Linked DNA regions of Anolis sagrei. The protein of the gene in region 1 interacts with the protein of each later gene in a biochemical or structural test. Links are inferred from orthologs where the notes say so. Each region holds a gene or a part of one and is shown in the gene's direction. Other genes may lie near its edges.

Evidence for each region.
Region 2: the proteins of STX3 (region 1) and SNAP25 form a complex in vitro, tested with the Homo sapiens proteins (2 studies listed by BioGRID). The link is inferred for Anolis sagrei from reciprocal best matches to the Homo sapiens genes STX3 and SNAP25.
Region 3: the proteins of STX3 (region 1) and SNAP23 form a complex in vitro, tested with the Homo sapiens proteins (3 studies listed by BioGRID). The link is inferred for Anolis sagrei from reciprocal best matches to the Homo sapiens genes STX3 and SNAP23.

Annotation. Positions count from the first base shown.
Region 1 is NC_090021.1:234,867,047-234,877,655, forward strand, and holds the start of STX3 (syntaxin-3), read left to right. Parts: upstream 1-5,914; 5' UTR 5,915-6,245; coding exon 6,246-6,275; intron 6,276-10,609. UniProt on the Homo sapiens protein: Potentially involved in docking of synaptic vesicles at presynaptic active zones. Apical receptor involved in membrane fusion of apical vesicles.
Region 2 is NC_090021.1:145,057,924-145,069,088, reverse strand, and holds the start of SNAP25 (synaptosomal-associated protein 25), read left to right. Parts: upstream 1-6,027; 5' UTR 6,028-6,181; intron 6,182-11,165.
Region 3 is NC_090021.1:286,950,294-286,961,636, reverse strand, and holds the start of SNAP23 (synaptosomal-associated protein 23), read left to right. Parts: upstream 1-7,253; 5' UTR 7,254-7,506; intron 7,507-11,343. UniProt on the Homo sapiens protein: Essential component of the high affinity receptor for the general membrane fusion machinery and an important regulator of transport vesicle docking and fusion.

The DNA of each region.
Region 1 (10,609 bases):
TGGTGGGTCTGTAGGTGGCTGTGGAGCCCTTTTCTTGATCTGCATGTTCTCCTGCATGAGGACATTGGTTTCCCAATGGAAGGTGGTCCCGGTCAGGGTTGGCTTGATGCGCCTCCCTCTTAACATGTTTCTCCCTTTTGCTCTCCATTTGTGCCTCTTCGAATTCTGCAGCACTGCTGGTCACAGCTAACCTCCAGTTAGAGTGCTCAAGGGTTATGGCTTCCCAGTTCTCGGTGTCTATGCCACATTTTTTAAGGTTGGTTATAAGCCCATCTTTAAATCTCTTTTTCTGTCCACGAACATTATATTGGGTGATGGTCACTCGTTGGCCTGAGAGGTGTATTGTGTCCAAATTTGGCATCAATTCGTCCAGTGGTTTTTGAGTTATGTTAATCCCACAAACGAACATTACCTTTTTATTGATATAGAAGACTAGCTGTCCCCTGCCATGCGTTGCTGTGGCCCAGTCAGTGTATATGTGTTTTGTGTGTGTATATTTGTATTTGCATATATATGTGTGTGGTTTTGTGCATGTGTTGTAATGTATTTTTTTTGTTTTTTGGCTTTTTAAGTTTCTTCTGTTGTGTTTTTCAGTGTTTTTATGACTGATGGTCACTTGTTGGCCTGAAAGGTGTCTTGTGTCCAAATTTGGTGTCAATTTGTCCAGTGGTTTTTGAGTTCTGTTAATCCCACAAACGAACATTACATTTTTATTTATATAGAATATATATTCTATATAAATAAAAATGTAATGTTCGTTTGTGGGATTAACAGAACTCAAAAAACCATTTTTATTTATAAAGAATATATATCTCCAGCAAAGGATCACCGCCTTGTCGGGGCGCTGGAGCTTGAGCACCTCAATGATGTCATGAGCGAAACCGTGAAGGGCCACCCAAGACGGGACGGTTGTGGCAGAGAGGTCAGACCAAGCGTGATCCCTGGGGAAGGCAATGGCAAACCACTCCAGTATCCTTGCCAAGAAAACTAAATGGACCAGTACAACCAGAGATATGTCGGTATGCCATTGGAAGATGGGACTCCCAGGTCGGAAGATGGCCAAAATGCTACTGGGGAGGAGCAGAGGATAAGTTCAACTAGCCCCAGATGTGATGATGCAGCTAGCTCAAAGCCGAAAGGAAGGCTAGCGGCCGACGGTACTGGAGGTGAACGACGAATCCGATGCTCTAAAGATCAACACACCATAGGAACCTGGAATGTAAGATCTATGAGCCAGGGCAAATTGGATGTTGTTATTGGTGAGATGTCAAGACTAAAGATAGACATTCTGGGGGTCAGCGAACTGAAATGGACTGGAATGGGCCACTTCACATCAGATGACCACCAGATCTACTACTGCGGACAAGAGGAACATCGAAGAAATGGAGTAGCCTTCATAATTAATAAGAAATTCGCTAAAGCGGTGCTTGGATACAACCCAAAAAATGACAGAATGATCTCAATTCGAGTGCAAGGAAAGCCTTTCAACATCACAGTGATCCAAATATACGCCCCAACCACAGCTGCTGAAGAAGCAGAAGTAGATCAGTTCTATGAGGATCTGCAGGACCTACTGGATAATACACCAAAAAGAGACATTATTTTCATTACAGGAGACTGGAATGCCAAGGTGGGAAGTCAAATGACAACTGGGATCACAGGCAAGCATGGTCTGGGAGAACAAAATGAAGCGGGACGCAGGCTGATAGAATTCTGCCAGGAAAACTCGCTGTGTATAACAAACACTCTCTTCCAACAACCTAAAAGACGGCTTTATACATGGACCTCACCAGATGGTCAGCACCGAAATCAGATTGACTACATCCTTTGCAGCCAAAGGTGGCGGACATCCATCCAGTCGGTGAAAACAAGACCTGGGGCTGACTGTAGCTCAGATCACGAACTTCTTATTGCCCAATTTAGAATAAAACTAAAGAGATCAGGGAAAATACACAGACCAGTTAGATATGATCTCACTAACATTCCTAGCGAATATACAGTGGAAGTGAAGAACAGATTTGAAGGACTAGATTTAGTAAACAGAGTCCCAGAAGAACTATGGACAGAAGTCCGAGACATTGTTCAGGAGACGGCAACAAAGTACGTTCCAAAGAAAAAGAAAACCAAGAAGGCAAAATGGTTGTCTGCTGAGACACTGGAAGTAGCCCAAGAAAGGAGGAAAGCAAAAGGAAACAGTGAAAAGGGGAGATATGCCCAGTTAAATGCGCAATTCCAGAGGTTAGCCAGAAGAGATAAGGAACTATTTTTAAACAAGCAATGCATGGAAGTGGAAGAAGACAACAGAATAGGAAGGACAAGAGACCTCTTCCAGAAAATTAGAAACATTGGAGGTAAATTTCAGGCAAAAATTGGTATGATAAGAAACAAAGATGGCAGGGACCTAACAGAAGCTGAAGAGATCAAGAGAAGGTGGCGAGACTATACAGAAGATCTGTACAGGAAGGATAACAATATCGAGGATAGCTTTGACGGTGTGGTGAATGAATTAGAACCAGACATCCTGAGGAGTGAGGTTGAATGGGCCTTAAGAAGCATTGCTAACAACAAGGCAGCAGGAGATGATGGGATCCCAGCTGAACTGTTTAAAATCTTAAAAGATGATGCTGTCAAGGTGATGCATGCCATTTGCCAACAAATATGGAAAACACAAGAATGGCCATCAGACTGGAAAAAATCAACTTATATCCCCATACCAAAAAAGGGAAATGCGAAAGACTGCTCAAACTTCCGTACAGTGGCCCTTATTTCTCATGCCAGTAAGGTAATGCTCAAGATCCTGCAAGGAAGACTCCATCAATACATGGAGCGAGAGTTGCCAGATGTTCAAGCTGGGTTTAGAAAAGGCAGAGGAACGAGAGACCAGATTGCCAATATCCGCTGGATAATGGAGAATCTCGATAAAATAGTAAAGAGTAGAGACATCAGACTGGCAACAAAGATCCGCCTAGTCAAAGCCATGGTATTCCCTGTAGTCACCTACGGATGTGAGAGCTGGACCTTAGGGAAGGCTGAGCGAAGGAAGATCGATGCTTTTGAACTGTGGTGCTGGAGGAAAGTTCTGAGAGTGCCTTGGACTGCGAGAAGATCCAACCAGTCCATCCTCCAGGAAATAAAGCCCGACTGCTCACTGGAGGGAAAGATACTAGAGACAAAGTTGAAGTACTTTGGCCACATCATGAGACAGGAAAGCCTAGAGAAGACAATGATGCTGGGGAAAGTGGAAGGCAAAAGGAAGAGGGGCCGACCAAGGGCAAGATGGATGGATGGCATCCTTGAAGTGACTGGACTGACCTTGAGAGAGCTGGGGGTGGTAACGGCCGACAGGGAGCTCTGGCGTGGGCTGGTCCATGAGGTCACGAAGAGTCGGAGACGACTGAACGAATGAACAACAACAATGGAGAAAGGCAGGGAGTTTCAGAAAAACATCTACTTCTGCTTCATTGATTATTCTAAAGCCTTTGACTGTGTGGATCATAATAAATTGTGGCAAGTTCTTGGTGGGATGGGCATCCCAAGCCACCTTGTCTCTCTCCTGAGGAATCTGTACAAGAACCAAGAAGCAACAGTCAGAACTGACCACGGAACAACAGACTGGTTCAAGATTGGGAAAGGCGTACGGCAAGGCTGCATCCTCTCACCCAACCTTTTTAACATGTATGCAGAACACATCATGCGATGTGCGGGGCTGGATGAATGCAAAGCTGGGGTGAAAATTGCTGGAAGAAACATTAACAACCTCAGATATGCAGATGACACCACTCTGATGGCCGAAAGCGAGGAGGAGCTGAGGAGCCTTCTAATCAAGGTGAAAGAAGAAAGCGCAAAAGCCGGGTTGCAGCTAAACGTCAAAAAAACCAAGATTATGGCAACAAGAATGATTGACAACTGGAAAATAGAGGGAGAAACCGTGGAGGCCGTGACAGACTTTGTATTTCTAGGTGCAAAGATTACTGCAGATGCAGACTGTAGCCAGGAAATCAGAAGACGCTTACTTCTTGGGAGGAGAGCAATGTCCAGTCTCGATAAAATAGTGAAGAGTAGAGACATCAGACTGGCAACAAAGATCCGCCTAGTCAAAGCCATGGTATTCCCTGTAGTCACCTACGGATGTGAGAGCTGGACCTTAGGGAAGGCTGAGCGAAGGAAGATCGATGCTTTTGAGCTGTGGTGTTGGAGGAAAGTGCTGAGAGTGCCTTGGACTGCGAGAAGATCCAACCAGTCCATCCTCCAGGAAATAAAGCCCGACTGCTCACTGGAGGGAAAGATACTAGAGACAAAGTTGAAGTACTTCGGCCACATCATGAGGAGACAGGAAAGCCTAGAGAAGACAATTATGCTGGGGAAAGTGGAAGGCAAAAGGAAGAGGGGCCGACCAAGGGCAAGATGGATGGATGGCATCCTTGAAGTGACTGGACTGACCTTGAGGGAGCTGGGGGTGGTAACGGCCGACAGGGAGCTCTGGCGTAGGCTGGTCCATGAGGTCACGAAGAGTCGGAGACGACTGAACGAATGAACAACAAAGAATATATATATACTAGCCACTCTTTGCTGTGGCCCAGTCTGTGTATATGTTTGTGTGTATATATATGCGTATATGTGTGTCTATATATTTGTGTGTGTGTATATTTACATCACTTATATCCCGCCCATATCAGCCCGCAGGCGACTCAGGGCGGTCTACATATCAGCACAATTTGATGCCATCAATACAATACAAAAGCAAAAACAATTAAGTGCATTTAGACAAGAAAGACAGTGCAATAACAATTTAAAAAGAGCTATATCCTCTCATTCCAATCCTCATCCGTTTCATCGTCTTGGCCGTTCCTGGGTCATTCTCCATCTCAAGCTTGACTATTCCGGGGTTCTGAATGCCTGCCAGGTTTTCACTCTCTTACGAAAGGTCAGGAGGGAGGGGGCTGATCTAATATCCCTAGGCAGGGAGTTCCACAGCCGAGGGGCTGTGTGTTTGTGTATATATGTGCTTTTGCGCAGGCACTGTAATGTATTTTTTTGGCTTTGTAAGTCTCATCCACTTTGTCTTATTTTAGTGTTTTTATGGATAATGGTCACTCGTTGGCATGAGAGGCAGGGCTGTATCCAGAAAAAAATTTCGGGAGGGGTTGAAATTTTCGGGGGGGGGGTTGAAAATTTTACAGGGTGTGTGTGTGTTGAAACCTGCCTCCTAGCTCACGCTGAAGCAAAGAGCACAGCAGGGGGCAGAGCAGCCTTCAGTAGCCTGCAGCTCCGCCCCTGTCAACCACCTCCACCAAGTCTGGCCTCCTTAATGAGAATATTCAACACACACACACCCAACTTGGTTGCTTCACTACATCGGCTATTGCTGCAAGTAATGACAGTGTGAATAAATTGTCAATATTTGCTTGAGATAGTGCTTGCAGTTCTGGAGGGACTCTTTAATTTTTTGCATCTCATAGATTTAGCATGGGGATTTGGTTAACCAGTTAAAATTCATGAGTAAACCAGGGTTTTTTTTAAAAAAAATCTGAAACATTTCGGGGGGGGGTTGAACCCCTAACCCCCCCACCCCCCCCCCCCCCACCCCCCGCTACAGGCCTACTGAGAGGTGCCTTGTGTCCAAATTTGGTGCCAATTCGTCCAGTGGTTTTTGAGTTCTGTTAATCCCACAAACTAACATTACATTTTTATTTATATAGAAAAGATAGATAGGTAGATTAGCAACACCCTCTCTGAGGGGGTCCCCCGGTGCAGCTCCCACTCCCACGTGGGCCTCTCCAGGCGACACCTAACACAGGTTGTCCTCTCCTCCAGCAACAGGTTGGCTCTCTCTGGCTTGGGAGGGGCCTACCCCTTTAAGAGCGACTTGCGCTCAGGTAAGTGGGCGGGGCCTCCCGCTTTGACCCCGCCCACCCTGCGTATGTCATGATGGATTAGCGGCGGCGGCGGGGAGCTCAGCGCCCGAGGATCAGACCCAGACGGGGAAGGAGGGGGAGGAGGAAGAGGAGGAGGAGGAGGAAGAGGAAGAGAAGAGAGCAAGTGGGGAGGGGGCGTCTCTCCCCTCCGCCGCGGCCAGGCAGAGCGAGTTCCCCTCCCAGCCAAGGCAAAGAGGGCGAAAGCGGAGGAGGAAGCCGTCCTTCCGTCGGGGCCGGGAGGCCACTTCCTGGAGGGGAGTTTCGCCCGGGTCCACCTGCAGAAAAACAGGAGGAGGAGGAGGAGGAGGAGGAGGCACACACCTGTCCAAAATGAAGGACCGGCTGGAGCAGCTGAAGGCGGTGAGCAAGCCCCCTGCATCCACTTCCCTCTTTCCCTTCTTTCCTTCCTTCTAAACTGGGGAATTAATGCACTTTGACACCGCTTTAACTGCCCTAACTCTACTCTGGGACCCTAAGAGTCTTTCTCCTTCTCTGCCAAAGAGTGTGGGCGCCTCACCAAACTATAACTCCCAGGATTCCTCATAGCATTGGGGTGTCAAGCTGTATTAATCCCAACCATAGGGACTGTAAAGGGAAAGGGCCCACTTTGGAATAGTGTGGCTATTGGTGGGAATCCAAAGACTGGGTCCTTAAGGTAAAAGTCACCCCTAAATTTGGAAAATAATAATATAGAATATGGGGCGGGGGGTTGGAATAGGCTTCCACAGCTCTGTAGTTTCCAAACCTGCCAATAGTGGCTGGCAAAGTGAGGGTGGGACTGTTTAGTAGTGCTCTAATGCAGGTATGGGCCAATTTGGGTCCTGCAGGTGTTTTGGACTCCAACTCCCACCATTCCTAACAGCCTCAGGCCCTTTCCTTTTCCCCCTCCGCCGCTTAAGTTGGAGTCCAAAAGTAGTTGGGGTCCAAAACACCTGCAGGACCCAAGTTGGCCCACACCTGCCATAATGGATCTGAGAATATGTCCATTAGGGAACCACATGCACACCTTGCAATGTGGCACTGTGACCAAAATAATAAAACCATTTGAAGATGGCTAGGAGGGAGTCTCTGTTTCCCGCCACTTTTCCCCCCACCAAGATCAGTAGAGTTGGCAACTTCCTCTTTTTGGCTTCCCGCCTCCTGTCACTTTTATTTTTTTTTCCTTCCTTGGTGCACTCAGATATGTGCCTGCGGACATTATCTATATAAGATGTCACAAGAGCATTATAGGCCCAACCAGGGCTGAAGTGCTGGTTTCATATCCTCTCTCACATAACATTTATGGCTCAGTTGACTTGGAGCTGCCCCTCCCCTTGTTCTTCAATCCTCAGTTCAGAACATAATGTTCAGTCTCTCAGCTTGTGGTCACTTCTGAAGGTGCAGCTACACTGTAGAATTAATGCAGCTTCACACCACTTTTAACTGACATGATTCAGTGCTAAGGAATCATGGGAGTTGGAGCTTTGCATGCTTTTACTCTTGGGCCCTTCCACACAGTCCTATATCCCAGAATGTGAAGGCATGAAATCCCACAATATCTGAGTGTGGACTCAGGGCCCTTTCATACAGCCCTATATCCCAGAATATCAAGGCAGGAAATCCCACATTATCTGAGTGTCAGCTCGGGGCCCTTCCATACACCCCTATATCCCAGAATACCAAGGCAGGAAATTTATTTATTTACTACTAGCCGTCCCCTGCCACACGTTGCTGTGGCCCAGTCTGTGTATATGTGTTTTGTGTGTGTGCATGTGTGTGGGTGCATATTTTTGTGTATATATGTGTGTGTGCGGTTTTGTGAATTCATTGTAATGTTTTTTGTTTGTTTTTTGCTTTTAAGTCTCTTCTGGTGTGTTTTTCAGTGTTTTTATGAGTGATGGTCACTTGTTGGCCTGATACATGTATTCTGTCCAAATTTGGTGTCAATTCGTCCAGTGATTTTTGAATTATGCTAATCCCACAAATGAATATTACATTTTTTTATTTATACCTAGCTGTCCCCTGCTACGTGTTACTGTGGCCCTGTATGTGTGTTTTGTGTGTATATGTGTGTGTGTGTATATATTTGTGTATATATGTGGTTTTGCACATGCGTTGTAAAGTAATTTTGTTTTTTGGTTTTTTAAGTCTCTTCTGTGTTTTTCGGTGTTTTTATAAGTGATGGTCACTCGTTGGACTGATAGGTGTATTCTGTCCGAATTTGGTGTCAATTCATCCAGTGGTTTTTGAACTATGTTAATCCCACAAATGAACATTACATTTTTATTTATATAGATATTTGTATACCGACCTTCATAGCCCTTAGGCGACTCACTTCTGAAGATGTAGCTACACTGTGAAATTAATGCAGCTTCACACCACTTTTAGATGACACAATTCAATGCTAAGGAATCATTGAGTGAATATCTGAGTGTAGGCTCGGGGCCCTTCCACACAGCCCTATATCCCAGAATATCAAGACAGAAAATCTCGCAATACCTGCTTTGAACTGGGTTATCTGAGTCCAGACTCAGATAATGTGGGATTTTCTGCCTTATATTCTGGGGTATAGGGCTGTGTGGAAGGGCCCTCGGATGACCCAGGGCCCTTCCGCACTGTCATATAACCCAGAATATCAAGCCAAGAAATCCCACAATATCTGCTTTGAACTGGGTAATCTGAGTCCACACTGCCATATATTCCAGTTCAAAGCAGACAATGTGGCATTTTATTCAGCTGTGTGGAGGTTGTTCCAGTTCAAAGCAGATATTGTGGGATTTTCTGCCTTGATATTCTGGGATATAGGGCTGTGTGGAAGGGCCCCTTCTCTGTCAAAGTTCCTATCTAAAGTAGAACGACCAGAATTCCATAGTATTGAGCCTTGGCAGTTAAAGTGGTGTCAAACTGCATTAATTCTACAGTGTAGATGTACCTTGAAATCAACTCTTTAGTGCTTCTTGGGCCCCTTCCACAAAGCTAAATAAAATCCCACATCTGCTTTGAACAGCGATTTATGGCATTGTGGACTCAGGGCCCTTTCACACAACCCTATATCCCAGAATGTCAAGGCAGAAAATCCCACATTATCTGAGTGTGGACTAAGATAAACCAGTTCAAAGCAGATATTGTGGGATTTTCTTCCTTGATATTCTGGGGGCCCTTCCACACAGCCCTATATCCCAGAATATCTTCTTTGTACTAGGTTATCTGAGTCCACACTGCCATATATTCCAGTTCAAAGCAGAAATTGTGGGCTTTTATTCAGCTGTGTGGAAGAGTCCTCAGATAACCCAGTTCAAAGCTGATATTGTGGGATTTTCTGCCTTGATAGTCTGGGTTATATGGCTGTGTGGAAGGGCCCTTAGTTTTCAGCTGAAATCCGTCATTTTTAAAAGGAGGAAAAACACAAGTGTCTGGCCTGTAAGACAAGTTTGCTTATGCGTCTCCTGAAGTACATCTTTATTGAGTGCATCATCATGGTGTGACGTGATATGCAGATGGCATAAACACAGCTTCTCACAGTTTTTATTGCCAGAGAGTGTTAGTAGTTCAGCATGTGCCAGACTTGGCAAAGGCCTAGGCATGCTACTTCTTTCATATTTGCTGACTTCAAGGTGATGACCTGTTTCACACTCCTACGTCTAGCTCTTTTCTTTTTCTCAGTGTAAATAACTTGTGTTACTTTATTTATACCCCTCTCTTCTCACCTTGAAGGGGATTCAGTGCGGCTTTACAAACTACGGCAAAAATTCAGTGCCTCATTTTGCACATAACAAAAACATAGCACATTAAATTATAAAACAATTAAAACATATAAACAGTTAAAACCTATAAAACACAGTAAAATAGTTAAAAAACATAAAAAGTTCTGAGTCATTATTTCCAAACATCCAGTTTTCCATGGTCATTATCTGGACTGCAAGGTTAAAGTCAAATTCCACGTTACCCTATTCTTTGAATGCTTGAGCACAAAGCCAGGTCTTTAGCTTTTTACCTGAAGACCAGGAAGAATGGGGCCAATCTAATTATTTATTTATTTATTTATTTATTTTATTTACTTTGCTTATATACCGCTGTTCTCAGCCCGAGGGCGACTCACAGCGGTGTACAACATAGAAACAGGTTCAAATTCAAGACACAATCTAAAATAATCAATCTAGCATTAACCAAAAACATCGTCATCAAAAACATCATCAATAATACAAAAGCCATTCCACGTCGTCTCATCGTCTAAACCACAATCCAGTATCATTTTCCGTTGTTCCATTCCTGTCGTCATTACCAATTATTGCACTTCTTGTTCGAACGCCTTCTTGAACAGCCAGGTCTTTAATTTCCTGCGGAATATTAACAGGGACGGAGCCTGTCTGATGTCCACGGGAAGGGTGTTCCACAGCCGAGGAGCCACCACCAAGAAGGCCCTATCTCTCGTCCCCACCAGGCGTGCCTGTGAGGCAGGCGGGATCGAGAGCAGGGCCTCCCTGGACGATCTCAAAGTCCTGGTGGGCTCGTAGGTTGAGATGCGGTCGTAAAGGTATCTTGGGCCGGAACCGTTTAGGGCTTTATAGGCCAACGCCAGCACCTTGAATTGAGCCCGGTAGCAAATCGGCAGCCAGTGGAGCTGGTACAATGTCACTAGGGAGGGGGTTCCACAGCTGAGGGGCCACCACTGAAAAGGCCCTGTTTCTCATCCCCACCAGTTGCACTTGGGAAGT
Region 2 (11,165 bases), about 90 Mb from region 1:
AACCCATGCCATCCATCTCTTGTGGAGACACATCTTTCCAAATGTAGTTTGGGCTATATTTATCTCTGGCTAGGTTCCAGTAGACTGGAGCCTTCTCCCAGGGCCATGTTTTGGAATATATCTAGACAATTTTAGTTGTTTCCAGGATCTTTGCTGTGCCATCATAGTTTCCTGTTTCAACAGTTTGCAGTGGTGCCCTGTAAATGTGAATAATCTCTCTTGTTCTGCTACCACCAGGCTCAGCAAAGATGGTAAGATTCATGGTCCAGAGTTTCCTCAATTCAGGGTTTTATCACACCAACCTGTTGTCTCACAGCAATAATAAAGCTGAAGCAAACAGGGACAATCACTTTCACACCACCTCTCCAGCAGCACTTTGGCACAGAGTAAAAGCATCACAGCTTCACCCTACTTTGGAGATGTGGATGAGGAGGAAAGCTATATCCACCTGTGCCACATGACTGTCAGTTATCAGGACAGCAGCAGAACAAGACAGTCACACCAGAATCTAAATTGAATAGTTGTGACATTGGACAAGGGTTTGCTTTCTTGGAGCTATAATATGGATTATGTGGGCAGGGTCGTGGGGGCCTCAGTAGCAGTCTCCATAACAATCAATCAAAACTTTATTTGTATCCTGTCCTCTCTCCCAGTGGGGACTCGGGGCAGCTAACAACACAAAATAAGAAACAAAGCAAATGGGCAATATAAACAATCAATCATAAATAATAGCAGTTGATGACTTTGATTCCACTGGGTTGTGAATTAAGTCTGGGTTTCTGCTTGAATTTTAAAGGAGCTAGCTAAGGTAATGAATATATAGGGTAATGTGCAGCGTATGAGCAAATCCTATAGTGTGGGTTAAAAGCTATCCCACTTACATGGAAGCCATCAGTTGTCATTGGGGATTTGGAAACAATGCTATTTGAGTGACATTTCTTTCTCTGCCAGTCCCATGTTTGCTCTCAGCCTTCTCATTTTACTGGGCAAGAGGAAGAATTCCTTCTGAGAGAGGCCCAAACCAACACCATCCATTTCAGTATGCAGCTTTTTTTTTTTTTTGGCATGGAGAAGAATAAAATTACCATTTAAAATTACAATTCTCAACTTTGTCTTTAGTATCCTTCCCTCCAGTGAGCAGTTGGGCTTTATTTCCTGGAGGATGGACTGGTTGGATCTTCTCGCAGTCCAAGGCACTCTCAGAACTTTACTCCAACACCACAGCTCAAAAACATCGATCTTCCTTCGCTCAGCCTTCCCTAAGGTCCAGCTCTCACATCCGTAGGTTACTACAGGGAATACCATGGCTTTGACTAGGCGGATCTTTGTTGCCAATGTGATGTCTCTACTCTTTACTATTTTATCGGGATTGGACATTGCTCTCCTCCCAAGAAGTAAGCGTCTTCTGATTTCCTGGCCACAGTCTGCATCTGCAGTAATCTTTGCACCTAGAAATACAAAGTCTATCACGGCCTCCACATTTTCTCCCTCTATTTTCCAGTTGTTAATCATTCTTGTTGCCATAATCTTGGTTTTTTTTATGTTTAGCTGCAGCCCAGCTTTTGTGCTTTCTTCTTTCACCTTGATTAGAAGGCTCCTCAACTCCATAGTTTTAAATAAGGAGAAGAAAAAAACATTACCACAATTATTTGTAATTACTCTGGACTTTACGGTATCTTGTTTTGTACTAAGTAGTCCAGACTTTGTGACACCACTATGTACAAGAGTGCACATTCCAGAATGTTCCCAGAAACTTTTCTTCATTCTTTCTTCCTACACTTGGCATAGTTGTGCTCTGAGGGAATCCCCCAAGATGGCTAGTTCTCAAATGCTGTCAACGCCCCCTTCCCACTACCTTCCCAGTCAAGGCCCACTTATTTTCCCTTCCCAGTTTGCTCATGATTGCAGTTTCCCAGGAGAGCCTTTGTTGCCTAGAAACAAGCCTGACATCCAAACCTCCCTCTCCCCTCCTCTCTGCCACCATCAGCCTTACTTCAGGGCCGCCCGCACACATCTGCTATACATCCTCAGTAATTTTGTGAAAGTACCAAAGTAACAAGGAGCCAGATGGAATGATACATCGAATAATATTTTCTTTCAAGACAACTGTGAACACGAAGGGATGGAGGGAAGGCCAGTACTTTGGGTGCTCATTTCTGTGGACCATCCTAGCCACACAATCCAAGCCACACAATCTTATTCATGAAGAGAGGAAGCATATGGTAGGCCCAGAAGGTTAGACAGAGATTGTTGCATTTCTGGGCTGATGGATCTGTGATGAACGGGCAGGCAGAAAGTGCCCAGAGTCCTAATATACCCATGATTTTGATTCTTGATACCTTGAGTCCCTTGAAAAGTAAAGAAAAGATAGTTTCTAGCCTTGGCTCCCCAGATGCTATCAGACCTCAACTCTCAAAACTCCCAGCCAACATGGCCAATGGCAAAGGATTCTGAGAGGTGTAGTCAAGACTGCAGATGAGTTCCATTTCAAAAATGAGAGGTTTGCTTTCAGTAGCAGGAGCCTTGCATCTCATCTCATTTCAAATACTTTTCTACAAGCTATAGCAGGCACATAACAGGCAGGCAGCCTGGAGTCTTTTCTCATTCTTCTGCCTTGCCTCTTACATTTCTAAAAGATCTTCTTTCTCCTCCTCCTCCTCTTCTTCTTCCAGTTTTAGAACATCTAAATTTAAATGAGGTTTCTGCAGGGGAACCAAGTGTCCTGGAATTTTAGCTCAAGATCGGGCACCACAGTTTTTCATGATCATGTCAAACTGAAAAAGGAAAAGCAGGAGAACTAAAGATTTCAGAAAATGGAAATCTCCATAACCTTTTGGAAAATGAATATTCATAACCATTTGGAAAAACCAGGAATCTTTTAGAAAGGCATGACCTTGTTAGAGATCATAACCTTTTTGTAAAGTATGATCTTCCTGAGAAGAGTTAAAAATGCACTTGAGTCAACCTTCCCCTTACTGGTAAATATCACTAGCATTCATGCAAAGCAATTAGGTTTCTCAGATGTTAGACTGATATATCTAGATATCTCTTTGAACTGTTAGGAACAAAGATATGCCAATGCATATATCAGAGTTTCAAAAGTATTATTTCAGCTGCCTAAACAAACATCAACTGTCTCTTAAAACATCCTGGTTTAAATCATGCTTCAAGATGCCAAAAATAAAGTAGTCTTTGTTAAAACAGCATAGTTGGTTTACTCACAAACTTCAAGTATTCAGCATATAAGTACATTGCTTATCAATCCAGTTACAGATAGGATTTGAAGTAATTTCTCTGTGCAGATAACACAGGGGATTGTTCTTGTAATCTTAACAGCTCATAGTCTAAAGCCGTGGTTCTCAATCTGTGGGTCCCCAGATGTTTTTGGCCTTCAACTTCCAGAAATCCTAACATCTGTAAACTGGCTGGGATTTCTGGGAGTTGAAGGCCAAAACATCTGGGGACTTACAGGTTGAGAACCATTGGAGCATCTCTCTAGTCTGAAAGTCTAATAGTGTGTATGCAGTCAGTTTCTACAGTCTTCCAAAAGCATATTGTTTCTACTGGCATCTGGAAATTATACAGTTAGTAAAATGGAGTTTCAGATGAACAGTCCCAGTTCTATGTTGCAGCCCTCCTACAACATAGAACTGAGGATAACTGCAAACCAATACACACATATACAATACGGTAAGCAATCTGAATTATATACTAAACAAATAACTGGTATAGGAGGCTTGTAGAAGGTTTCCCTTTCCAACAAAAGAGGAAGAGGGTCACTGTTATTTCTGCTTCCCTTCTTTATGGTCCACCTGAACTCAAGATTTACTGAGACACACATCCTGCTTCCCTGCTTTGTCAACATGGTTGTGCTATCTTTGATTTTCTTCAAGGGATTGGGCCACAGTGGTTCTTTGATGGGATATATTTCAGGATGGGGAGAGAGAAGGGAGATTCATCCTATATTGATTCCTTTACATAAAAACAAAAGTGTTTCAAGATGAAAAAATATAGTTTGTAGGAGTCATATGCATGTAGTTATTTTTCTATTAAATAGAAAAATAACTATATTTAACTTGTCCTCATGGACAACAAGTTAAACATGAGCCACCAATGTGATGCAGCAGCAAAAAAAGCCAATGGGATTTTGGCCTGCATCAATAGGAGTCTAGTGTCTAGATCCAGGTTTGAAGATGAGCAAAGTAAATAAGCTTGCCTATCTTCCAACGGACCTCATAACCTCCTAACCTCCGAGGATGCCGGTTATCAGGCCTGTAGCGGGTGTGTGTGTGTGTGTGTGTGTGTGTTAGGGGTTCAACCCCCCCCCCCCAAATTTTCAGGTTAAAAAAAACCTAGTTCACTCATGAATTTTAACTGGTTAACCAAATCCCCATGCTAAATCTATGAGATGCAAAAATTAAGAGTCCCTCCAGAACTGCAAGCACTTTCTCAAGCAAATATTGACAATTTGTTCACACTGTCATTACATGCAGCAATAGCCGATGCAGTGAAGCAACCAAGTTTGGGGGGGGGGGGGTTTGAATGCTTTCATTAAGGAGGCCAGACTTGGTGGAGGTGGTTTACAGGGGCGGAGCTGCAGGCTATTGAAGGCTGCTCTGCCCCCTGCTGTGCTCTTTGCTTAAGCGTGAGCTAGGAGGCAGGTTTCAACGCCCCCCCCCAGGCATTTAGCTGGGGGGGGGGCTTGAGGGGCTTCAGCCACCCCCCCCCCCGAAATTCTCATGGTGGTTCGCGAAAAGGCCTTACTGGTGCATTATTTAAACTGTTACGTTTATTCATATCACCATACTCAATATATCCCATATATCCAGAATCATAGAATCATAGAGTTGGATGAGGCCTCATAGAATCATAGAGTTGGATGAGGCCAAGCAGCAGGAGGAGAGAAACTGTAGGCAGGTAGGGTATTGGGGTAATGATACAAAAGGTTTGCTAGGGTAGACCCTCTTTCACTCAGACTCAGCCCCCCCCCCCGTAACCCCCCCTGAAAAAAACTCAGCCCCCCCCCCCCCCCGAATTGAAATCCTGGCTACAGGCCTGACCTCCCCTCGAAATTTTCACACACACACCCCCCCCCCCTCGAAATTTTCAACCCCTCCCTCGAAATTTTCAACCCTCCCCAAAAAACATTTCTGGCTACAGCCCTGCCTGTTATAGATGTGGGCAAAACGTCAGGAGAGGATGCTTCTGAAAGATGGCCATACATCCAGGAAAACTAACAGTAACGCAGTGATTCCAGCCATGAAAGCGTTCGACAACACAAAGTAAATAAGGCTGGTGGTTGTGGGCTGAATCTATGGCACCTCTGCATTTCTCTAAAGATATAATCAGCTCTTTGGCAACCCTGCATTATGTGCCAACGTAGATTACAAGGCAAAAAAGTAAAACCTCTCAACAACAACAAACAACCCCACATTTTAATTATTGGGGAGTCCTCATTGTCTTGTTTGACAAGCCCCCCGAGAAATGTGGCTTCTTCGGAGTAAGGAAAAGCATCCTTAAAAATAGAAAGAGCCACGTCAACAGGCCATATATGGAGTCTGCTGGAGTCTTCAGAGGAATACCCTTTTCGGACCACTGCTCTAGCGAAAACAAATCCCTACCGCAGTGCTGCTCCCGCCCCCAGCTGAAGGAAACCAAAACTTCTCATCATAACAAATACTTTTTCCCCCTTTCAAAACACCCTTCCAAACTCTGGCTTGCACGGAAGATCACACCCCCTTTCTTGGGTCCTTTAACTGCTTTTTTTTTTTACCGGATCCCTTCCTCTCTGTTTTCTTTTCTGTATAGGAGGGGGAGGGAAATGCCCGGGATTGCGGTATATTGTGCAGCAGCAGTAACAGCAGCAGCAGCATCAGCTTCTGATGAGTCAAGCTCCCCCAGACGCCTCCCTGGCGCTCCGGCTCTTCCCCCCTCCCTTCCCTTCTCCTCGTGCGCGCGCGCGCCCTCCTTTCCCTCCCCTCCTCCCCCTCCCATCCGCCCCTCAATAGATGTCTATTAAAAGCTGCTGACGTTGGGAGCGACGGCCATCTTTGATGAGGGCACAGCTCCCGTTTCATTGAAGAAGGAGACTCGGAGAGGTCAGGAGCGGCTCTTCTCCTTCTCCTTCCCCGGTTGCCAGCCAAGCCAGGCTTTGCGAGGAAGCAACGCTCCCGGAGGCCAGGTAAGGAGGGAAGGAAGCACTCCCTGGCGCCTGCCTTCTTTTCTTTCCATTGCTTTGCGGGGGAGAAAGGAGAGTATGAATCTCTTCAACCCTGATGTTTATTTCTGATTAGAGGGGGGGGGGGGGGGGGGGGGGGGGGAGGAGAAACCCTCATTAGGCCGAGAAGGGAAGGAGGAGCAGTACGAAGATGGAGAGAGAGAAAAACACTCATTTGTTTACTGTTTAGTCTGAGAAGGAGGAGCAGAAATATCTCCAATCATAATGAAAGAGAAGATGAAGGGGAGAGAAATATTAATGCCTGCCCTAGATGCAGGCAAAACGTCAGGAGAGAATGCTCCTGGAACATGACCATACAGTCCGGAAAACTCTGTGATCTGTGGTCATTCCACAGATATATAAACCCATTTTCCTACTTCCAACAGACCTCACTACCTCTGAGGATGCTTGCCATAGATGCAGGCGAAACGTCAGGAGAGAATGCTCCTGGAACATGACCATACAGTCCGGAAAACTCTGTGGTCTGTGGTCATTCCACAAATATATAAACCCATTTTCCTACTTCCAACAGCCCTCACTACCTCTGAGGATGCTTGCCATAGATGCAGGCGAAACGTCAGGAGAAAATGCCTCTAGAACATGGCCATATAGCCCGGAAAAACCTACAACAACCCAGTGATTCCGGCCATGAAAGCCTTCGACAATACATTGAACAACCTTATAATTCCGGATATGAAAGCCTTCGACAATATTCATGTATTCTTAACTTATTAATGCTCTTCTCCCAGCATTCCTGAACAGGGAAAGCAAAGGGTTTGTTTTTGTTTTGCTGGCCTCTCTCTCGCTTTCATTTCCTCTCTCGTTTTGGCGCATAGCTCTGTTTTGGCTGCCTCGTAATATGGTGGCAAAAGTTGGAAGGATGTGTGTGGGGGATATAATACCAGAGATATAGCGCGGATTTTGTTGCATAGAGCGGCCGAGGGTCTTCCGCCGCAGCTCCACTTTCAGGACCATGGACAGCAGCAGCCGCCTCCGTCGCAGGAATCCATCAGGGGCTGCGCGCGCAGCTCCCAGCTCTGATGCCGCAGCAGCAACAGCAACACAAGGGGGCTTGGGTCCAGCACCTCGGACAGCTCCCTGCCTGCATTAAGGATAAGGAGCTCAGAAGAAAACCCCGCAGACACTGCAGAGGGCTTTGGATTCAGCACCTCGGACAGCTCACCTGCCTGTATTAAGTATACAGCGTTTCCGGCTCAGAGGAAAACCCCGCACACAGTATAGAGCTTGGGTTCAGCACCTCGGACAGCTCCCCTGTCTGCATTCAGGAAGGAGCAAGGGTTTCTGGCTCTGAGACATTGTAGAGAAGGAAGGCCAATCTCTTGCCTCGATGCCTGGGGGCTACGCATAATAACAATTAATAATAATAATTAATAATGATATAAATAGTAACAACTAGTGAGAAACATCAAGCTAAATCTAAGGCTTAGCCTCCACCGCATAGACCTACTGGACCAAATCAAGCCCGCACAAGGACTGCAAAACGTTACTCATCCAATGAGTCTATTTATATTCCAGTCATTTATTACTCATTCAATGTGGCATTTAGTCAGTCATGGCTCCTTCCAAGAGGTCTGCTCTACTTGGGGAGGACAACAGTGGGATTTAGTCCCGTATTTCCAAATTCCGGGTGCGATCAAGACTGTTTACATGCCTCACATGCTTCACCCCCTTCCTTGGCCTCTTCAAAAATTCACCTCCGCATCCATCGCCATTTAGGGAAGCTGGAAAGCTCTCCCAACCGTGCCGTTGCAGTCCTGTCGCAAAACCTTCAGTTGTTGCTGAATATGAATATCTCTTTCCCTCAATCAATACTATGGACCCTTGTTTATCTAGGAAGAGATTCTTCCAATACGCAGAGGAATAACAAGCATCGTGGGGACTCTAAATAGAGAGCAGGCTGCAGGGTTCCTATTCCGCTTCCTAGTGGTTTTGAACCCTTTCTCCTCTTGCCACGGCCAGAGGGAGGGCGGCTTCATTCATGTTTCCTGCCTACTACGACATCATGTCGAGAGGCCATTCTGAAACTGGATTATGGGCAAGAGTCTTTGGGGAAGAGTAGGGAGGGGGGGGATGGAGAGAAGGAAGGAGAGGAGATGGGTGCTGGAGATGGGCTTCAAAACTCTCCCGCCCACCTCCCCAACCCACCTTTCTCTATCAGAGGGGAGGGAAGCCGAACGAGGAGGAGGAGGAAGAGGAGGACCCTGATGCTGCAGAGCTCCCTCAACCGGGTGCGTGCTATCTTATGTAACGGATTGGCAGCGGGGGGGCTCCGGCAGCATTCCTCTCTCATACACACAATCTTGCTTCAGAAAGGCAGGACATGTCTATTTTGTAAAAAATAAATAAATAGGGATAGGGAGATAAAGGTTTCCCCTTGACTGAAGGTATCTATCTATCTATCTATCTATCTATCTAAAAAGGTAAACCCCCCCTTGACTGAAGATATACTATATATCTATTTATTTATCTAGTATACCTTCAGCTCCAAGACGCACTTTCCCCCTATATCTCTAAAAATGGGGTGTATCTTGGGTATTTTTTGTGGGTGGTGCTGGTACTGAAATTGTAAGACGCCATCGATTGTAAAACGCACTCCAATTCATAAATACAGTACACACATATACATAAATATACATAGTTATACGGTATATATACTTATTATATATATACACACACAAATATGCTTATTTATATATTCATACGTACATACATATATATATATAGAGAGAGAGAGAGAGACTTATTTATATATGCATACTTATTTATATATACATATGTATACATACTTTATATATACATACATATAGAATCATAGAATCAAAGAGTTGGAAGAGACCTCATGGGCCATCCAGTCCAACCCCCTGCCAAGAAGCAATATATAATATACGTATATATACAAACTTGTACACACACATATAAACATATATATATACATACTTACTTATCTATACATATGTATACATACTTTATATATACATACATACATATATATGTATATATACAAACTTATACACACACACCTATATATATATATATACACATACATACTTATTTATCTATACATATATAGGTACATCCTTATTTATATATGCATATATACTTATATATACATATATAGATGCATCTGTATTTATATATTTACATATACACAGACATATACAGGCCCGTAGCCAGGATTTCGATTCGGGGAGGGGGGGGCTGAGTTTATTTCGCCCTCTGGGAATAGCTGCATCAAGCCCTTTCCCGACGGTTTAGATTCTGTTCTTGGATTGGTAGCATTTCTCTTTTCCAAAGTCATCTTTATTCTGAAGCAGCACCAAACGTCACCTCCAAGGCAGTCCCGTAGCCAGGATTTTGATTGGGGGGGGGGGGGGGGAGGGGGCTCAGTCTGAGTGAAAGAGGGTCTACCCTAGCAAACCTTTTGTATCGTTACCCCAATACCCCCATGCATATGGAATATATTGAATATAGTAATCAGATCATGATATGAATAAACATATCAGTTTAAATAATGCACCAGTAAGGTCTTTTTGTGAACCACCATGAGAATTTCGGGGGGGGGGGGGGGCTGAAGCCCCTCAAGCCCCCCCCCCCCCAACCTGGCTACATGCCCCTGGATATATATATATATACACATACATACATATACATATACACACATGCATGCATACATAGCTTTTTAAAAATATATTGTATCATATATAGAAACATACAATCTTCAAAATAAACAGTCAAAATACCAGTATTTTCCCCAATTCCACCACCACCAAATCCCCATCCCCCCAGGAACGTTAATTACTCTTGCTATACGTATTACATGCATACATAGCGTCATTATCTAATATCTATTTACATAATGACGCCAAGAATCAGGGCATCCATTAAAGCCCCATTTAGTTTGGTTGAGTCAAAAGGAAAGATGCCAGAGTATCGGGGATTTTAGCTCTTTCCATCTTTCTCTCTCTCTCTGCAAGAGGAAGTGGTGTTGGTGTTGGGGGGGGGGGGGGGGTATTTCCAAAACAAACATGCCATGGCGGCTCTCTGGGAACCAAGGCGCCAAGAGAGATGGATGTTTCCATCTAGCGCCTCCGCCTGTTCTGATTTTGGAAGGCTGATCGATTGGAGGGAGGGGGGGGGGGAGACTGAGAACCCCTCCCTGGAGGCGCCAGAGTCTCCCTAGATCTAGATGTACGTCAAACACGCCCCCTTGCGACCCGCCCCCCTTGATCAGCTTCTCTTCTCGGTCACGTTTCTCCAGCCGCTCTTGGCGTCCATCTGCGGCATTCAAGGCGGGGCGGGAGGAGGAAGAGGAAGCACGTTCTTCGGACGGAGGTCCTCCTCACTAACACCCTTCCCTCTCCCCAATTCTCAATGGCGCACCTTTGGGCGCTGTAGAAGGAATGGTAGCAATGCTAGGGAATCTTCAAAGAGTTGTGGTTTTACAAGATCACCCCAGATTCCATAGCACGGAGCCATCTTTCTTTCCTCCGCACGGTTTGGCTCCTCTGCGCTCGAGCCGGGCTTGTGATTCAAACCTGCGACAGCGGCCCGGCCCCACGTGACCAGCGCAGCACGCGCCTTCGAAGAAGAAGCAGCCCAACATAGCCTCTCGCTCTCTTTTCTCGCTCTCCCCCCTCCGCTTTGGAATGGTTTGGCCCGCCCCCAGGCAAAGCGGGGAGGGAGAGGCCACGCGGGAGAGGCGCGCGGGGGAGGAGGACGCCCCTCCAAGCTTCATTCCTGGCGTTCTTGGGGTGCCTCGTGACTCCAAAAGAAATTAGGGGGGGGGGAGGAAAATTGAAACATAGTGGGTTTGGGAAATGTATGGCAACTCAATGAGAATCTCTCTGCGGGGCCAAAGCGGGATTCCACAAGGGCTCCTCCGCCTGCCAGAAAATGCAGCAATTGGATTAAGCCAAGGGTCGGTTGC
Region 3 (11,343 bases), about 52 Mb from region 1:
ATTGAGAAGACACTTTTACTATTCATTAGACATCAGAATGTGAAACACTTAACACTTCCATGTAACTCTTTGGTGTATGATGGGATGTATTATTGTCTAACTGTTAAACATTTGGAATTCTGGTTAGGAAAGCAAACACTGGTTCTCAAAATTTTCCAGGAGCCAAAATGGCAACAGACTAGAAAATGTCTTCTCACCTAATAAATGTTCCTTCAGAACAGAAAACCAAAACACTAGTGACATGAAAAACCTGCATTGCTGCTTAAAGTTTTCCACCTATGATGTAGATATGTGATTTTCCACCTTCTTGGACAGAAAGGAAAGGGTGTGCTCAAAAAAAAAAAACAGGGTAAGATGGGTTCTAGAGTAGAGAATACCAAGGAACTTGGGGAGGGGAGCTATCCTGAGTTTTGTTAAGGGTGCCTCCAGTTCAGAAATAGATATATAGAGTCTTTAAACAGCATGCACAATACCGTATAATATCTGGTTGAGGAAACAATTAGTAGGTTAGTCTCATCCAAAGTATACTATATCAGCACAGTATCATGAGAGGACAGCTCCCATGCTGCTGCAGCTCCACTGGTTGCCAGTCATGGGAGCTGTCCTCTCATCATACTGTGCTGATATAGCATCACAGTATACACTACTTTGGATGAGACTAACCTACTAATTGTTTCCTCAACCAGATATTATACGGTATTGTGCATGCTGTTTAAAGACTCTATATATCTATTTCTGATAAATAGATATATATCTATATCTATTTAGCTAAATACAAAATGCTGGTCGTTAGCTATAAAGTCCTATATGGTTCAGGTCCAGGCTATTTGTCTAATTGTGTCTCCCAATACAGACCATCCCGTGCATTGCAGTCAACGGAGGAGGCCCTCCTCTTGGTCCCACCCCCATCACAAGCTTGGTTGGTGAGAACAAGAGGGGGTTTCTCCATGATCGCTCCCTGTCTCTAGAACTTCCTCCCTAAAGAAATAAAAATGGCCCCCACCTCTCCTTTGAGAAACTTTTGAAGACACACTTATGCACTTTGGCATATGGAGGGGGAAGTATAGGAAACTTTAATTCACTGGAATGGGCTAACCCACTGTATTATATGGCAGCTATGATACATTTTAAATTAACTTCTATGCTAGCCATCTTTAATATAATGCATTTTAATTGTTGTTCACGGCATGTGCCTTAATGTTTACTCATTAAACATTGTAGTTGTAGTTCACTATGTCCTACTGAATTGTTTATATTTTGTTTTTCATTTCAATGCTTAGTTCTTTTATTATAAATGTACTGTTGTTATTGTGCAGTACTCTGAATTTATTTTTGATCTGTTGGTACTTATTTGAGGCATTGAATGTTTGCCTTTTTTGTGTGTAAAGCGCCCTGAGTCCCTTCGGGGAGAGGCGGTGGTCTAGAAATAAAGGGGTTTCTATCATTATCATCATCATCGTCATCATACGATGAATAAAAGTTCAGTAGAATATATTTAACCAGGAAAAGTTTCAATATAATGTTTTATTATACAACTTTTTGAGAAAATATCTATAATCCCTCTCAATTCAAAAGCGTATTCATTATAAGAAACTATTTAGGAAACTAATGAGTATGCTTTAAAAAAATGAAATCTGAATGGAATTGCATAATTTTACACACAAGCATCCTATTGTTATAGTAATGTTTATTTTGTTTCTAATATAATTGTTCTATGTTTGTAGTTTACAATTATAAATCTCAAAACAGTAGAACTAAGTTATACTGAGGGCTGCTGTTTTCATTTGCTTTTAGGAATCATATGTTTATACTGTACTGCCTTCTTCATCTGGGAGAATTCTTGATCTCTCTTTTAGTGGGCAATCTAACAAGGGGTGTAACGAACATAGGAAAATGGAATGGTTGACAATGTGATTGGACAATGTTTTAACAAGGAGACTCTAATGAATATGTGTTTTTAATTGACTTTGTTATGGTTTTATAACCTCTGATTGGGAGCCCCCAGTGGTGCAGTGGGTTAAACCCCTGTGCCGGCAGGCCTGAAGACTGACAGGTCGCAGGTTCGAATCCAGGGAGAGCGCAGATGAGCTCCCTCTATCAGCTCCAGCTCCTCATGCGGGGACATGAGAGAAGCCTCCCACAAGTATGATAAAACATCAAAAACATCCGGGCTTCCCCTGGGCAACGTCGTTGCAGACGGCCAATTCTCTCACACCAGAAGCGACTTGCAGTTTGTCAAGTCGCTTCTGACACGACAAAAAAAATTTCTCTGATTGTTTTTGTGGTTTTATATTTATCGTGTCATCTGCAACCAGAACATTGTATTACATTTCTAACAAAACAAAACAAACAAACAGATTAAAAAAACCCACAAATTTTGCAAACTTGGTAGCTGATTAAATATCCTTTGACCAGTATCTGGCCACTTGGAGTGCCTCTGGTGTTGCCACATCGTGCATGTGGCAGGGCTCAGGTTGCATTGCAGCAGGTGGTCAGTGGTTTGCTCTTCTCCACACTCGCATATCGTGGATTCAACTTTGTAGACCCATTTCTTAAGATTGGCTCTGCATCTCATGGTGCCAGAGCGCAGTCCGTTCAGCGCCTTCCAAGTCCCCCAGTCTTCTGTGTGCCCAGGGGGGAGTCTCTCATCTGGTATCACCCACGGATTGAGGTGCTGGGTTTGAGCCTGCCACTTTTGAACTCTCGCTTGCTGAGGTGTTCCAGCAAGTGTCTCTGTAGATCTAAGAAAACTATTTTTGTGGTATTGAAATTGTATTGGTATTAACTGTACACTGCCCCGAGTCGCCTGCGGGCTGAGAGGGACGGTATATAAATATAGTAAATAAATAAATAAAAATACTTCTTTTTCAGTTACTTCAAAGTATAACTCACTCCTGCCTGTGTCCTGTACAGAAGTTGTGAAAGAGTTGAGAGAGGAAAGAAAATATACTTACGATGTATTCCCACTCTCCAGTTTTTGATTGTTTACAGTTTTTGAATACTGCCATTTTTTATGTTTGTTTGTTTACCTCGACACTCCCCTCACTAAAAGTTGTCACAAAAACAAACAACCGCTCAGGAAGTGCTTGGCTGCCTTTGACAAAGACTGAAGGTGGTAGTTCTAACTCCGTCCCTGGAGGGATTTGCTTTGCAGGAGCCCTATTCAAGGAACATCCCCCCCCCCCCCAACTGAGGAATTGGGGACCTGCAGCCCCACAGGTGAGCTCCATCCTTAACCCTTTTGAAGGACCACCGGCAGAGTACTTACAGGCCGCATCCACCCAGCAGACAGCCATCGCCCAGCGGCAAGGGCCACCCCCCGGGCCCTCCACCGGCACCGCCACCACCACTGGCTCCCCGGCCACCCAAAGAAGCCCCGCGCCAGAATACAGGAAGCGCCTCCACGGATACAGCCAATCAGAGGGCCACAACAGCCGCCGCCCTTTGCATGCTGGGAAGGGTAGTTTTCTGCCTCAGAGAAGCAGGCCGCGGCGAGAAGGAATGATCCCGGTGCATTTCGGGAATTGTAGTTTTGGACAACGTTGTGGCTGAAATTATCCCAGAGCCTTGGGCCATTGCAGTTAAAGTAGTGTCAAACTGCATTAATTCTACACTGTAGATGCACCCTTCATACTATAGAGTTCTGAATGTTGTCATTTCACAAACTCTTCTCTGGTACTGGTAGCAATCAGTCAGGCTTTGAAGCTGCAAGGCCATTCAATGCTAATCAAGGTGGCCAGTTGCAACATTCACACTTGCCTCAAGCAGACAAGTGTTCTGTCTCCCACCCTGGACATGCCAGAGATATATAAACCCCACTTTATATAGGTATGTAGTTTCCAACATACCTGTCAACCTCTAAGGATGCCTGTCATAGATGTTGGTGAAACGTCAGGAGAGAATGTTTCTGGAACATTGCCATACAGCCCAAAAAACTCACAGCAACCCATCTTCTCTGGTACCTCACCAAATTAAATCCTATGACTCCACAGCATGGAAACACAGCAGTTAAAGGGCCCTTCTACACTGCCCTATATCCCAGGATCTGATCCCAGATTATCTGGCAGTGGAGACTCATATAATCCAGTTTAAATCAGATAATCTGGGATCAAATCCCAGAGTATACAGATATGTAGAAGGGGCCAAAGTGGTCGAGCTGCATTAATTCTACAGTGTAGATACACCTAACGGAATATTTAGGATAGTCTTGTTGTAAGGAGGTCTTAAATACCCTAAAAGCATCCAATTCTGTCTGGGTTCTTCTACACAGCCATATAACCCAGAATATCAAGGCAGATCATCCACAATATCTACTTTGAACTGGGTTATCCGAGTCCACGCTGCCATATATTCCAGTTCAAAGCAGAAAATGTGGGATTTTATTCAGCTGTGTGGAAGGGGCTTAACAAAACTATTAAATCCATGGGGTCACCATATGTTGGCAGACAATAGAAACTATCAGTGTGGTTAGTGCATTGGAATAGGACTCCCAGGATGTAAACTTGCTTAGCAACTCACACTCAGCCTGAAGGGGAAGGAAATGGTAAACACCCTCTCAACAAATCTTGCCCAAGGAAATCCCACAATATCACTAGTTGGAAATGACTTGAATGCACACAGAATCAACTGTATTGTTAGGACCTGTTGCTAAGCAAACATATGTCTGAACTATCTGTGGATGCTAAAGAGGAAAACCACTCAGTCCTATAGGGAAAATGGTAACGTTCCTCTGAACAAATATTGCCAAGGAAGTCCTGTGATAAGATAATGACTTGATGGCACACTACAACAACACAGCACAGAGGAAGGTGTGTGTAAAAATGCTACAAGCATGTGCACCCATCAATTTGTACAAATGCCATAGTTAAATACCACTGATAAAGCCCTGGACTGTATTTAATTACACAGCTTTCCTATGTAATAAACTAAAGCAGACTGATTCAACAAGTTGTTTCCAGGTTGTTGTTGTTGTTTACTTCAGGTCTCCAAAGAGTTGTGGAATGGTTTCCAAAATGCTCTACAGCCAAAATTCATTCATTTTGATTAGAAACAAAGGTATGTAAATGTTTTAAACTAACAGGATACAATGTAGTTTGCAATAACACGAATTTTGCACAATCATCATCTTTCTTTTTCTTTAATTTTTGGAAATGCATCTTTGGTTCCTTTTGGGGGGACTCCCAAAAATGCATTTCCCATCCCAGCGAGTTGAGCACTGGATTACAATTCTAAAGGTCAGGATTTTAATTCCCTTATTTATTTATTTATTTATTTATTTACGATATTTATATACCGTGTTTCTCTCCCCTGGGGGAGACTCAAGGCAGTTTACAACATACTAATGGCAACAATAAAATGACAATATACATGTAAAAAGAAAAATCATAATAACTTTAAAAAAATATTTTTATTGTTTCATAGTGTATGTAGAAAACAAAACAAATGAACAAAAGGAAAAAAGGAACAAAGAAAACATATGCAAAAGATTTACAAAAGAGTCAATATTCATTAAACATATATACAATCAGATTTGGTTGTACAATTATTTATACCTTAATATTACATAACCCTCTATCCCCCACCCGTGAACCCCACCCCCTGACCTCCGAAACTCCTCAAAACAGGATCGCATTACTAAACAACAACTACCCAAATATCTTTTTTCACTGAATCCCTTTATGGCAATTTTCAAGTTTACCTTTGTCTTCTTTTCCAAATACCCAAGTGCCAGCCTCCATTTATTTGCAAATTCTTCATTATTTCCTCCGCAGCTGCTATTTGTCAGCTTGGCCATTTGGATATAATCTGCTAACTTATATCTCCAATCTTTAATAGATAACTCTTTTTCCAGGTTCTTGTGGGTTTTTTCAGGCTATAGGGCCATGTTCTAGAGGCATTTCTCCTGACGTTTCGCCTGCATCTATGACAAGCATCCGCAGAGGTAGTGAGGTCTGTTGGAATTAGGACAATGGGTTTATATATCTGTGGAATGGCTGGGGTGGGGCAAAGAGCTCTTCTCTGCTGGAGCTAGGTGTGAATGTTTCAACTGACCACCTTAATTAGCATTTGAAGGCCTGCCTGAGCCTGGGAAAATCTTTTGTTGAGAGGTGTTAAGATGTGCCTGGTTGTTTCCTCTCTGCTGTTTTGCTGTTGTAATTTTAGAGTTTTTTAAATACTGGTAGCCAGATTTTGTTCATTTTCATGGTCTCTTCCTTTCTGTTGAAATTGTCCACATGCTTGTGGATTTCAATGGCTTCTCTGTGTAGTATGACATGGTGGTTTGTTGGTGTGGTCCAGCATTTCTGTGTTCTCAAATAATATGCTGTGTCCAGGCTGGTTCTCTTTTTCCCTTTTCCAAGTTTTGGCTATTATTAGTCTTGCCGTAACAAAGCAATATTGACAAATTTCTTCATCTCCTGCACTGATACGCATTCTAAAGATAGTGCTTGCAGTTCTGGAGGGACTCTTAATTTTTTGCATCTCATAGACTAAGCATGGGGATTTGGTTAACCAGTTAAAATTCATGAGTAAACCAGGTTTAAAAAAAAATCTGAAACATTTCGGGGGGGAGAGAGGTTGAACCCCTAAAACCACCCCCTCGCTACAGGCCTGGACCTAAGGTATTAGGAATTGTGAGAGTTGAAGTCCAAAGCACATGGAGGGCTGACGTTTGCCCATGCGCAGGACCCATTTAAAGCAGTTCAAACTGCATTATATGGACCAGCATTATATACTTAGTGAAGACCCATTTAACGCAGTTCAAACTGCATATGGCTCTACATTGACCATATATTACTGTTCAAAAGGCCGTATTTGGCAGCATAGATCCAGCCTTAGCCCCCACTCCTCCACACAGCTGAATAAAACCCCACATTTTCTGCTTTGAACTGGAATATATGACAGTGTGGACTCAAATAACCCAGTTCAAAGCCGATATTGTGGGATTTTCTGCTTTAATATTCTGGGTTATAAGGCTGTGTGGAAGGTCCTTTAGGTGTATATGTCTCTGGGCCCTTCCACACAGCCCTATCTCCCAGAATATCAAGGCAGAACATCCCACAATATCTGCTTTGAACTGGGTTATCTGAGTCCACACTCAGATAATGTGGCAGGGCCTCCAGTGCCAGGAGGTTGAGAGAGCTCTCCTCCGCCTGCCCTCTGAATGACAACATTTTAGACAAACAGGAAAGGTGGGCGGGGATGCAAAGGTGGTGAAGCGAGGGGCGGGGCCAGGCCTGGACGGCCATGAAGTTTCACCTATAACAGCTCTGGCCGAGCGAGCGACCAATGCGCTGCGAAACTCAACGCGAAGGAGGCGGGGAGGCGAGGGCTTGGCGGAGGAGGAAGGAAGGAGAGAAGGCAGGCCGGGTGGGGCTTGGCTGGCTTGAGCCGAAGGAGGAAAGGCGGGCGAGAGGGGCTTTCCGGAGGAGACAAGGCTTGCCCAGCGACGAAGGAAGACCTGAGGCTGGAGAGAGAGGAAGGCAGAGAGGGCAAAGACGGCCTGTGGTGAGTTTCTGTAGAGATGAAGAAAGAAAGAAGGAGCGTGGGAAAGATTACTGGGGCTTCTTCTTGTCTTGAGAGGAATAGGAAGCCAAGGCGACACGTTGAGGAGGAGGAACTCAGGGCGAGGAGGAAGAGCCCTGTGGGAAGAAGAAGAAGAAGAAGAAGAAGAAGGGGAGGAAGGCAATGGGGGCAACGTGGGAGAAGCTCCCCCAAAGTGCCTCCTCTGAAGCCCTGGCTTGGATTTTGGCTGCCTAGTTTCAGAAGTGTTTCCCATGTAGGACTAGGCCCGGCTTCCTGTGGTCTGGTTGGGTCTCTCTGAAGCAGGCATCACTATCAGATTGTTGTCCTCCAGCTGTTTGGGCCTCCAACTCCCAGAATTCCTTAAAGCCTCTGGGAGTTGGAGGCCCAAACAGCTGGAGGACCACAGTTTGAGTGTGCCAGAGTGTGTGCATGTGTGTGTCCTCATCAGAGGTTGACCTAAGTAATTTTCAATGGTAAGCAAACTATTTTGCCTGTATTGTCGAAGGCTTTCATGGCTGGAATCACTAAGTTCTTGTGGGTTTTTTCGGGCTATATGGCCATGTTCTAGAGGCATTTCTCCTGACGTCAGGAGAAATGCCTCTAGAACATGGCCATATAGCCCGAAAAAACCCACAAGAACTTAGTATTTTGCCTCCCCCCCCCCCCAAACCAATCACTGATATATATTTTCTGTTCGTCATGGGAGTTCTGTGTGCCATATTTGGTTCAATTCCATCATTGGTGGAGTTCAGAATGCTCTTTGATTGTAGGTGAACCATACATCCCAGTAACTACAACTCACATATGTTAAGGTCTATTTTCCCCCAAGAGCACCTCAAGAGTGCCCCTGGGCAAAATCAACTATACTGCAAATGCTTACTTAGCGTAATGGGTTGAGCTACCCCTGGTCCTCATTTTTGTTCTGTGTGTTTTTTTTAAATCCTGGCAGGGTTATCCCCTTCAATAATAATAATAATAATAACTTTAGGTTCTTCTGGGTTTTTTCAGGCTACAGGGCCATGTTCTAGAGGCATTTCTCCTGATGCAGGCGAAACGTCAGGAGAAATGCTTCTAGAACATGACCCTATAGCCCGAAAAAACCCACAAGAACCTAATAATAACTTTGTTTATACCCCGCCACCATCTCCCCAAGGGGACTCAGGGCGGCTAACATGAGGCCAAGCCCAACGATTACAACAAAGCAAAAAGAATACAAACATACAATCATACATCAAATAAAATACAATAAAATATCAAAAGAAAATAATACAAAATTCAAGTGCACTTTAATTGTCAATAATAATAATAAACTTAATTTATAACCCCCCTCTCCTCAAAGGGACTCAGGGCAGTTTACAGGAATAACAAAATGGCAAACGTTCAATGCCAAAACCAAATAGACCAGTGGTTCTCAACCTTTGGGTTCCCAGATGTTTTGCCCTTCAACAGCTGGTAAAATGGCTTGGATTTCTGGAAATTGTAGGCCAAAACACCTAGGAACCCACAGATTGAGAACACCTGGTCTATTTGGTTTTGGCATTGAGCGTTTGTCATTTTAGACAATCAAAATAAAACATAGAGTGAAATAAACTCAATATAGGTTGTTGTATGTTTTTTCGGGCTATGTAGCTATGTTCTAGAGGCATTCTCTCCTGACATTTCCCCTGCATCTATGGCAGTGGTTCTCAACCTGTGGGTCCCCAGGTGTTTTGGCTTACAGCTCCCAGAAATCCCAGCCAGTTTACCACCTGTTAGGATTTCTGGGTGTTGAAGGCTAAAACATCTGGGGACCCACAGGTTGAGAACCACTGATCTATGGCAAGCATCCTCAGAGGTAGTTTCTACCTACTTCTGAAGATGCTTGCCATAGATGCAGGCGAAACATCAGGAGAGAATGCCTCTAGAACCTCATATAGCCCGAAAAAACCTACAACAACCCAGTGATTCCGGCCATGAAATCCTTCGACAATACATTAAACTCAATATAGCTTATAACAATCAAACAAGAATTAACTCAATGAACCTAAAGCATGAAGAATTATACTAATTAATATACAACACATTAAAAGCACAAGGTAGTATAATGTAACATATAGCGTAACACAGGGGTCTTCAAACTAAGGCCCAGGGGCCAGATAAGACCCTCCAAGGTCATTTACTCAGCCCTCACTCAGGGTCAGCCTAAGTCTGAAATGACTTGAAAGCACACAACAACAAAAATCTTATCCCTGCAGCCAAAAGCAGGCCCGCACAACCCATTGAAATACTAATAAGTTTATGTTTGTTAAAATTGTTCTACATCTTAATTATTATTTTGTTTTAAGTGTTTTTTGCATGACAAATAAGATATGTGCACTGTGCATAGGAATTCATTCATGTTTTTATTCAAATTATAATCCGGCCCTCCAACAGTTTGAGGGACTGTGACCTGGCCCTCTGTTTAAAAAGTTTGAGGACCTCTGGCATAACATGTCAGCCAAGGCTGTATGCTATTGGATTATTGTTCTAATAATAATAACAAACTTTTGTACGCCGCCTCATGTTCCTGAGGGACTCGGAATGGCTCACAACATGAATAAATACAATAAAGTACACAAATAATACATCAAATCAATATAAAAAACAAACAAGATAAGCCAAAACACAAGTAAACAAAATTAACAATAAAAATAATAAAACATTAGTTAAAAACACAGTCATTTCTATGAGTTAGAAGGGCGCTACTACCCAACTCGAGGTATATCCATATTTAAAAAAACCCTTGTTCACATTAAAAGTGTTTACTACATTGCCAAAAGCCTGTTTACACAGCCATGTCTTAAAATCCCACGTAAATGTAAGGATGGGATTGTCTAATCTCGCTGGGAAGGATGTTCCAGAGCTTCGGGGGGGGGGGGGGGGCACTGTTGTGAAGTCCATCTCCCTTGTCCCCGCCATCCTCATATGTGATGGGTTACATTATAACATTAGTAATAATAACATATAACATTATAATCATAATAAGGCTAACAAAGGAACATCTATGGAGGGAGACTCAAGCCATGAACCTGAAATGCTGAGAGGAAAATAACACTATATAACAATATAACATTAATAAAAACAACAGATAACAATATAATCATAATAAGGATAGTTTTATGAGGTATTTGCCCTTCTCCGGCCCCATCTATGCTGGCAGCCCTGAGTTACAAACATCCGACTTACAAACGACTCATATTTAAGATCACAGGAAGTGAGAGAAATCTACCCCTTGAAAGGGGAAATCACTCCTGGAAGAGTTATCCTGGGAAAAAGGTGTCTCAGCTGAAGTTTATCACCAATCCTTGTTTCTGCAATAAGTCAAGTTTTTCAAAATCCAATCATCACAGGGACAGAAAATCTACAGAACCTATCTTGTTCATAACTTGAGGACTGTCTGTAATGCAGTTTGATACTGCATTATATGTCAGCATATACAGTTCATTTATATGAGTCTACACACAGACCGTATCATGCAGTTTCAAACTACGCTATATGACGGCATAGGTGGGGCCTCTGTTAGTGAGCTTTCGTACCACTACAGATAACAGAATTTTATCGTATTAAACCATTATGGTAAACTGCTATAATTTTGCAGTGTTAGAGCAATAGCATGGTTTAATTTTTAGTAAAGCCACCGTTCTTTCTACTGGGTGTCCCCAAAGTCACCATTAATAGGGACATTTTAGTTAAATTACGTTTATTTACAAAACATTCCTTACAAAATTTTGCAAAAATATTCTCTACATGTTGTATATCTGAAAATATGAGTTTGTTCACTTTTCCTATGTACAGAGACTT